2 linked regions of the Nothobranchius furzeri genome follow. The protein of the gene in region 1 binds, or shares a complex with, the protein of each later gene. Links are inferred from orthologs where the notes say so. Each region holds a gene or a part of one and is shown on either strand. Other genes may lie near its edges.

Region 1 (4,855 bases):
TGACCTCATTTAGTGAAAGGTAGAGCTAGTGGTAAAATGGATCGGTTTTTGTTGCCCACATTTCCACGGGTTCAGTCAGAAATGAATAAATCTTTGGAAGGGATCTCAGCCACTGATTTAGCCCCGTGTGGAAGCATGTAAAAATTAATGTAATGGAAAATTTTCTTTTTAGTTACATCTAGTGGTTCGAAAGAGGTTTTATCCTCTTTGAAAGATGTTGATGTCTGTTTCTTAAAGTTACAATATGTATTTTGTTGTTGTTGTTGTTAGCCTCAAGGGCAAAATGCCGATTATCACTTGTAAGTCGCTTTGGACAAAAGCGTCTGCTAAATACATAAACATAAACACATTTTTACTGTTGATCTCTGGAAGGGCTGATGAAGAATTTCTCTGACCCGTGGACCATCAGCATCAGTTCCCCTCAGGGCTGTGTTCTCTCCCCTCTACTCTTCTCCCTACATCAACCTTATCAAGTTTGCAGCACCGCCATTGGATGAGTCTGCCCACAGAATAGAGGTTGAACGGCTGATCTCCTGGTGGAGCCACAACAACCTGGTGCTAAATACCCAGAAGACAGCGGAGGTTGTTGTGGATTTTAGGAAGCACCAGCTCCACTCCCCCCACATCTCTGTCCGACACTCCCATCACGATGGTGAACTCATGTCGCTTCCTGGGCACCACCATCACCCAGGACCTCAAGTGGGTGCCTACCATCATTTCCATCATAAAAAAGGCCCAGCAGAGGATATACTTCCTGTGGCAGCTGAAGAAATTTATCCTGCCAGTACATTCGATGAGGCAGTTCTACACCGCAATCATCGAGTCCATCCTCACCTCTTGAATTACTGTGTGGTATGCTGAAGCCACCAACTGGGACATGAAGAGACTGCAGCGTGTTTTACGCTGTGCTGAGAAGATAATTGAATGCAAGCTCCCCTCCTTACAAGCCCTGTGCACCTCCAGGACACTGAGGCATGCAGGTTGGGTCACCGCTGACCCGTGTCACCCTGGACACAGTTTTTTGACTAGCTTCCATCGGGTAAGAGGCTCAGATCCATTCGAACCAGAGCCTCACATCACAAAAACACTTTCTTCCCCTCTGCTGTTGGACTCATGAATGACAATCCTAGGGCTGCCCAATCCAGTCACTCAGTTTCAGTCACATGACCCTATGTGGTGTTTGTACCTGAACTGATCCACTCTGATCAGTACCTACACTGTCTTGTATATAATAGTCGTTTCTCTAATTATTCCCACTTTATATTATTATTTCATCATTATTATATTCTTACTTCCTGCATTTACTTATCTCTTATTTTTATCTTTCTTTTTGCACCAAGTATCACAGCAATTTCCTAATGTTGAGATGTCTTGCACACGTGGCAATAAAACCCTTCTGATTCTGGAAATAGCCATCAAAATGTTCAAAATGAATTATGTTATGTCCAGTCACTGAAAAATATTGGTGGATTTGTAACATATAACCATAAAAATCGGGTCTAAAGCACATAAGCAGCAAGTCTAGTGTCTTTGCAGGACGCCATAATATTACACGCCGTTTCCTTCTCGGCTTGGGGCCCTGCACCTGTCGATGACGTCACACTAGATGATTGGCTGGATGTACGACCTACGGAAGTTATGTTACCATGTTACAGTAAAAGAACATAATTGAAAAAGAGATGCAATATATTTTGGCGAGCGGTATTGCCATAATATGATGATGTCATCAGCAGGTGCAGGACCCAGAGGAGATCCAGAAACAACAGCGCCAGAAAACTAGCATCAGCATTGCATTCTCTTGATGGAATTAACTGAAGCACCATCAAAGTCTGAGGAGTCACGTTGGGGTTGCATGCTTTCTGCTACACGCATAACAACATTTATCGTAATGTTTTTTTAATCAGGGCGATATGGTGTAAAACTACCCTGAAATGTATGTACTGCCCCCTAGTGCCAGGAAAATACACACTTCCACTTTAACATTATTCATAAAGAGAAGTTTTTTTTTAATTTTTTTGGTGCATGTATTTTTGTTCTAATTTAATTGTGATAAATGATTTACCAGAATAACGTTTTCTTGAGTAGATTATTTTAATTCTTAAGCTTTAGGTTAGTAAAATCCAGCCAGCGATATTTAAACAATTGCAAGCGTGTTACAGCTTCAATTATTGAAAAAGAAAGAAAAAACACAACCCTGAGTCTCCGTCTCACTGTGAGATCATACATATAAATTGTGTAAAGCGCCATGTTGTTTATGATGGAAAAATGTCTAATAAAGTATCAGGAATATAAGGAGAAATCCCAAGTGAGATAAACAACCAAAAACAAGCTCTTTGGAGTCTAGCTCAAAGGATCAAACTGCAGAGTGACGAAAGGGGATTTCCATGCAGATTTGAAAGAAACGTCTAAGAAAACAAATTATATTAAACATGATGTTTTGACAAACATGGCTTCTTTCACAGGAAAATAGAACATGATTCAGAGGCTTTCCCAGATTCTCAGAAGTACAAAGAGCAGGGAATGACGTGGGAGCTGAAATTAATTTAAAAAGATTTTTTTATTATTACTATTACTGATGCATGAATCTTATTAATATTACGCATGTGTATAATGATAAGGAAAACAAATCTGCATTTGGACTGAGTTATCTTTCAACACACCTGTTCTCTTCTTTTTGCCGCACTGACTCATGCGCCTTGCAGGCTCGCAGGTGCAGCGCTGAGTCCCACATCAAAGAAAACCCGAACCGCATTAAACATTGTTTCCACATCAGTGAGGACTTTGCAGCTGATTTTCTGAGCAGTCAAATTCAAATTTGAAAAGGAAAGTTGAGCGAATTTTGCGCTTTTACGCATGAATGGAGACAGTGGGAGAATGGAATGATTCCACTTACCGAGCGAGTTCCCGATGAGTGAGACGAAGAACACGACGATGTAAGCCACGATTAGGACCCATTCATACTCTTTGGGGTGTAAGTACTCAGACCAGATGTATCTCAGAAGTTCGTCGTCCGTCTCCATGTTGGAGTGCAGCTCCGTGCAGTTGGCCACATGAACAGGATGTTTACATTCATCGTAATCCAAATTCCCGGTGATCCCGGACATCCTTAAAATGCGCTTCTCTGTTGCTGCGGAGAGCCGCGCGTGTGCTGAGACCGCAGGTTGTTGAGCTGACTGGCTACGAGGACGCACAATAACCCCGTCAGAACGACGGTGAGGCTGATGTCCCCTCTGCCTCTGCGTCTTCTAACGGTCACAACAGGGTTAAACAGCAGCACGTCCGTAACGAGTCCAGCTGGAAGTAACGGGGCTCACGTGAGATCAAAGTCGGTTGAAGCTCCCGGGGGGGAAAATGCGCTGGTAACACTTTACAATAAGGGTCCATTTATTAATGTTACTAAATGTTAATAAACGAAGAATCCCTTTATTAACGTTACTGATATTGTGAATTGTTAAGTTTCCTTAAGGTTAGGACAAAATGCCTGGGGGAGGGTCTGCTTAGCAATGCACTGCTTAATAATAACATTATGTTACGGCTGCCAGCCTGGTCTGTGAGATTGAGGAGCCAGGATCACCCAACCCCGGTGATCAGCCTGACACCGCCCCTCCTTCCCCTCTCTTCCAGGCTGCTGAGGAGCACAGCTGAGCTGAATCCTACCAACACCTGGGATAAAAAGGCTGTGCCTTCAGCAGTCTGGGAGGCAGCAGTGCAGGGGTTCTGCTGTCCTCCAGGCCTCATTTTGTTTTCAACCCCTTCGAGTTCAAGAGTTTTAACTTAAATAGTTTTAACTCTGACTGATCCCAATGGGTCTTTGTTTGTTAAGGTTAACTTGGTTTGCTCCAATTTAATTGACTCCGGTTTTAAACACCTTCTGTTCGGTAAAGCCTTTAACATAAGTTTTTACCAGGTGTTTTAAGTCAGTAGATTGCTTTAGACTTTATCAACTTCTGGATTTTAAAAACACCTTCTGTTTGGTGAAACCTTTAATAAGTTTTAACCAGGTGTTTTTTTTAGTGGGTAATTGGTTTAATGTTAACCTTTTTGATGAGGCAGCAGTGCAGGGGTTCTGCTGTCCTCCAGGCCTCATTTTGGTTTTAACCCCTTCGTTTTGAGAGGAGTTAACTTTATGGTGTTAACTCTGAGTTATGAGCTTTCAAAGGGTGAAGCTCCTAGATGTTCTTCGTTTTAAAGAGACTTTATGGAGTTTTGAATTTTTATGCTTGCGATTGCCCCCTCAGGCCAAAAGCGTAACGGCAGCTTCAATAGTAGGCTCGTGCACGAGGCGCATGCTGTACATGCACACTCCTTAACGAAAATAACAGCTGAGACAGTCCCTTGTGTGTGTGTGTGTGTGTGTGTGTGTGTGTGTGTGTGTGTGTGTGTGTGTGTGTGTGTGTGTGTGTGTGTGTGTGTGTGTGTGGCCAGGAGGACAGGAGAACACGCAGTTAATTAATTAAATAATTTGGTTCTGTACCTTTCTCTTCAGCACAGCCGACAAAGGTTTAAGATGGGTCAGCCTGCATGCTCAGACCATTCCATTCCCTTGCTTGAAAAATTGTTCCAAAATGAAAGTTGAACCCACATCTTTTTTATCTGTGAATTCAACGCCATTCGGCGTGTCTCAAATAAAAATTTGGGCATCTTACTGTAAAAAAAAATATACCATTAATGTAAAAAAGAAACTCTAAATACTGTAAAGCATGTCTAATGTTTGATTCTCTCTCATAATTTTAATTGAAAGTTTTACTTTGAGAGCACATTTTCCTGAACGATTAAAATGTGATTAATTTAGATTAATTAATTACAAAGCCTGTAATTAATTAGATTAAAATTTTTAATCAAGTCCCAGCCCTAA
Region 2 (4,082 bases), on another chromosome or scaffold:
TTCATGAAGTAAAAAAATATATGAATCAGAGGATCCTTAAAAATGTCAGCTTTTAAATAATGTAAGCTACCCACATGTTTAAAAGAATATAGAATATAGTATTTTTTCTACTAACGTAACCCTTCTATTTTATTTGTGAATATATCTGAAGAGGGGGATCACAAGCATCACAAGCATCGATGGGGATTCAAACTGTGCACAGCAACAGTTAATTAACAGAACACACGTCGTTGTTTGGTGGGAGGAACTGAAACATCTAATTTTGAACTGAAGAACATCTTATTGTTAGACGTCTGTGTTACATTTAGAGGAAGCTGCTGCCTTCCTTTCCTTGGACAATTCAGCATTTACATTAATACATACATGGCAGCAGTAGCTCAACAGGTTGAGCGGGTTGTCCAGCAATCGGAAGGTTGCAGGTTCAATCCCAGCTCCGGACAGAGAATTCTGTTGTTGTGTCCTTGGGCAAGACACTTAACCCACTTTGCCTGCTGGTGGTGGTCGAAGGGACTGGTGGCGCCTGTGCTCGGCTGCCTCGCCTGTCTGTGCTCCCCAGGGCAGCTGTGGCTACATCGTAGCTCATCACCATCAGTGTGTGAATGTGTGTGTGAATGATACACTGTAGTGTAAAGCGCTTTGGAGTCCTTACTCTGAGAGGCGCTATACAAGTGCGGGTCATCATATTTTCTAAATCAGTGAGATTTTTCCCATCTTTTGATTGGCCACAGATCATTTTACTAATCAGCAGAATCAGTTGAATCCGACTCTCTGATAGGAAATCGGACTGCGCCTTGGAGCAAAATTGTTTTTCTTTGATTTTCTGTTTGTAAAAATGTGTGATTATTTTTTTAAAGAATGAACAAATCTGAATAAAACACACTTACTGATCATTCATGAAACCTGGTCTTGGATTCAAATTTTTAATTACCGTAATCACAAAGTCATTCACATTTCCAAAGGTTATAGCTTCATGTGTAAAGCTTACAATCATTCATCTTTAAATATTGCAAAAAGATGCATTTTGCACAAGTACACATCACAAAACAAAATAGATTTCATACAAACACTGTCCTAAAATGGTTCATGTTAAACAGAGAGATTAGATGTTTTTGTCTTGAATAAGCCAGTTCACTGCTCCCCAGTTGGCCCAGTGGTCCTCCTCCCCATCGTCAGGATCCCTGCTGCTTGGTTCCTGGAGCTGTGAAGAAGCTGGTGGAGTCGGCTCTGCAAGCGATACTCATTCTCGTCCCGTTTACCCAGCGTGAGGATCCCAGCAGCTGCATCTTCTACAATTGTTCCCCCCATGCTATTGCTGCCAGAACGGCACAGTAAGACATAGAGGCGGCAGGAGTGAGGAGGCTGTCTGCAGCACTCAGACACAATTTGGGCGTTACAATCCAGCTGAGACAGCAGCAACATCAAAACGAACACCAGGGCTTTCTGTTCAGGAAAAGAGAATAGCTTTGAAACGTGATTTTTTTTCTAATCCCAAAACCTTGAAAAGCCACTAACCTTCACATTTGTAGAATATAAACACATTTTCTAAGCATTAGTCAATAAGAAAACATTAACAGTACTACATCCATCTGAGGGGAGTGTTGTTTCTTTGTGCAAAACAATATTATATTTAAGTTGCCTCATATTTCTTTCACCACACACTTATTCCCCGAATGCAGGCTGGTGGTTTAGTTTCTAGGCTAAACAAAAAAAAAAAACGTCCAAATTTTAAATTGTGTTGTATAAATGTGTATTAATTTTGTAGAGTATCAACACAGCCAGCATTGCTTAACTACCTTAGAGGTACTGAAAAGAAATAGTATAGTATCTTTGATAATGTAATGAAATCATATTTTTGTGAATACCTCTATTACTAACCCACTGACCAGCAGGTTAACCTCTCAGAACTCGTTTTAGTCCCTAAATCCAATTGAAGCAAGCATTGGGTTCAACTGGGAAAAATGCTAAACCAAAAATCTATAAATTTATACAATAATGTTTGCATATAAAGGAATACATCATTACATTACATAACATTATTATATATTTTATCACAATTTTGATATATTTCTCATTTTAAACATATTTTTAATTTTTGACATTTTTTTTATACTTTAATTTTTTTTTTTTTTGCTTTTGTGAAGCACCTTGTGATTTTTATCTGGAGAGGCGCTCTCTAAAAAATCGTTTTATTTCTTTCTATATGATCCCTTGCATCATATTACCTTGTGCGTTGTGTCCATCCTAGCAGCTTTCTGGATCTTGGAGGGGCTCCACGTCATCTTCAGGCTTTTATGGAGGGCAGTCATCTGATCTTATCTCCTCAGGGGAGAAAGCTCTCTTATATACGTCTGCGTTGTCCACATCGTCAGGTCTCAGCACGTCATTCAGGCCAATCACTAACCATGAGCCAAACCACAAATTCTCTTATTTCTGTTTTGTGTGTGTGTGTGTGTGTGTGTGTGTGTGTGTGTGTGTGTGTGTGTGTGTGTGTGTGTGTGTGTGTGTGTGTGTGTGTGTGTGTGTGTGTGTGTGTGTGTGTTAGAAGTTTTTTGTGCAGTAATTAGATTTGTGTTGTAGATCATCTCCGAGGAAGCTCCATGGTTTTTTTTGAATAACTACAGGTATGTTTTTGTAACTGCACAAAAAAGCTGATTAAGACATACCATTAGTGTGAGTGGTGAAAGAAGGTAATGTGTCAGAAAATATAAAAAACTATACGAATACATAAAAAAGCTGTGTGGCCTTTCTCCTTTTGGCAAGTTGTTTAAAGGCCATGCTAATGAGTCCCTATGAGCTGTTTACAACACAAAAGTCAGACTGACACGTTAACAAAGGTTCTGTTCTTTCCAGCTCCCTTGCAGAAAATGTTCTTGTGTTTTGAGCTGAAAGTTTTAGTATTGTTTATTGTTTAAAGCGAGTGCAAAAGGTTTGGAGAACGATGTGTTGCTTTTCGCAAAGTTTGCTGCAGTGTTGTTTTCAGATCTTTTTTGTCAGATACAGTCCCGATCAAACGCTTAGGACCACTTGAAAAATGGCCAAAAATCATATTTTTCATGGTTTCATTTTAACAAAACAGAAATTAAAGTTCCAAACAGGAACTCAGTAATGAGGAGCTCCAGTGATCTCATCAAAAATGTGTTGCAGCATGCTTGCTACAAGCGTTTTAATGAAGTGAGTGGGAACATTCCTCCAAGTGGTGAAGATGGCTGCACACATTTCTATTGTCTGAAACTGATGTCCATTTTTATAAACTTCTCTTGCAATCCTTCTCCAGATGATCTCAGTTGGATTTAGATCAATGAAATATGCAGGGCTTGTAGAAGTCCCTAGTCCTGCAGGATTTGTGTAGCTCTCCAGCAGGCTGGACTATTGCGTTGGACTTTTGCCTGGTCTCACTAAAGAAGTTGGGAAGCAACTGCAGCTTATTGAGAATGCTGCTGCTAGAGTCTTAACAAGAACCAAGCGTAGTACTCCTGCTCTTACATTTGTACACTCCTGCTCTTAAATCTGTGCACTGGTTACCAATAAACCTTAAAATAAATTTTAAAGTACTTCTACTAGTTTATAAATCAGTTGGACGAGCATGTCCTCCACCCCCATGTTTGAGACCCATTGTAAACAGTCAGCTGGTAGAATTCAATTCAAGTTAATTCAATTCAATTCAAAAATACTTTATTAATCCCAGAGGGAAATTGATTGCTGTAGTAGCTCATAATAATAATAATAATCAAGTCATCAAAGAGCTGTTGTATATTACAATGGCTGTTGGCAGGAAGGATCTCCAGTAGCGGTCAGTGTTGAAGTGAAACTGAAGAAGCCTCTGTTGAGGGTCTGACCTCATGAGGAAATTACTATGCAGTGATTTTCTCCAAAATGACTGTGCTTAAATTGCTCTGAAAAGCAAATAATCACATCAGCGCCAAGAAACTTCATTTCCCATGATGCTTTGCACACGGAAGCATTGTGATGACGTCACCGCCTAGTACCAGAAACACGTTCTGCGCATGTGCGGGAAGCCGTGGAGCTTTTCCCGCGAACTAAGACCATAAATCTTCAGCAGAGACAAAGAATCCTCGTTCTTT

Evidence for each region. Proteins that work in one complex are often made in the same cells at the same time.
Region 2: the proteins of hcrtr2 (region 1) and hcrt are in contact, whole or in part, in a cryo-EM structure (PDB 7L1U), measured with the Homo sapiens proteins. The link is inferred for Nothobranchius furzeri from reciprocal best matches to the Homo sapiens genes HCRTR2 and HCRT. Residues at the interface, in NP_001371201.1 of Homo sapiens: Thr111, Val114, Trp120, Pro131, Gln134, Thr135, Val138, Gln187, Val209, Cys210, Asp211, Phe227, Thr231, Ile320, Ser321, Asn324, Lys327, Arg328, Phe333, Ala334, Thr336, Arg339, Val342, Tyr343, Phe346, His350, Tyr354; in NP_001515.1 of Homo sapiens: Asn89, His90, Ala91, Ala92, Gly93, Ile94, Leu95, Thr96, Met97.

Annotation. Positions count from the first base shown.
Region 1 is NC_091752.1:23,451,495-23,456,349, forward strand, and holds the start of hcrtr2 (orexin receptor type 2), read right to left. Parts: upstream 3,242-4,855; 5' UTR 3,105-3,241; coding exon 2,894-3,104; intron 1-2,893. UniProt on the Homo sapiens protein: Nonselective, high-affinity receptor for both orexin-A and orexin-B neuropeptides. Triggers an increase in cytoplasmic Ca(2+) levels in response to orexin-A binding.
Region 2 is NC_091745.1:6,570,822-6,574,903, forward strand, and holds hcrt (hypocretin neuropeptide precursor), read right to left. Parts: upstream 2,559-4,082; 5' UTR 2,307-2,558; coding exon 2,223-2,306; intron 1,441-2,222; coding exon 1,129-1,440; 3' UTR 711-1,128; downstream 1-710. UniProt on the Homo sapiens protein: Neuropeptides that play a significant role in the regulation of food intake and sleep-wakefulness, possibly by coordinating the complex behavioral and physiologic responses of these complementary homeostatic functions.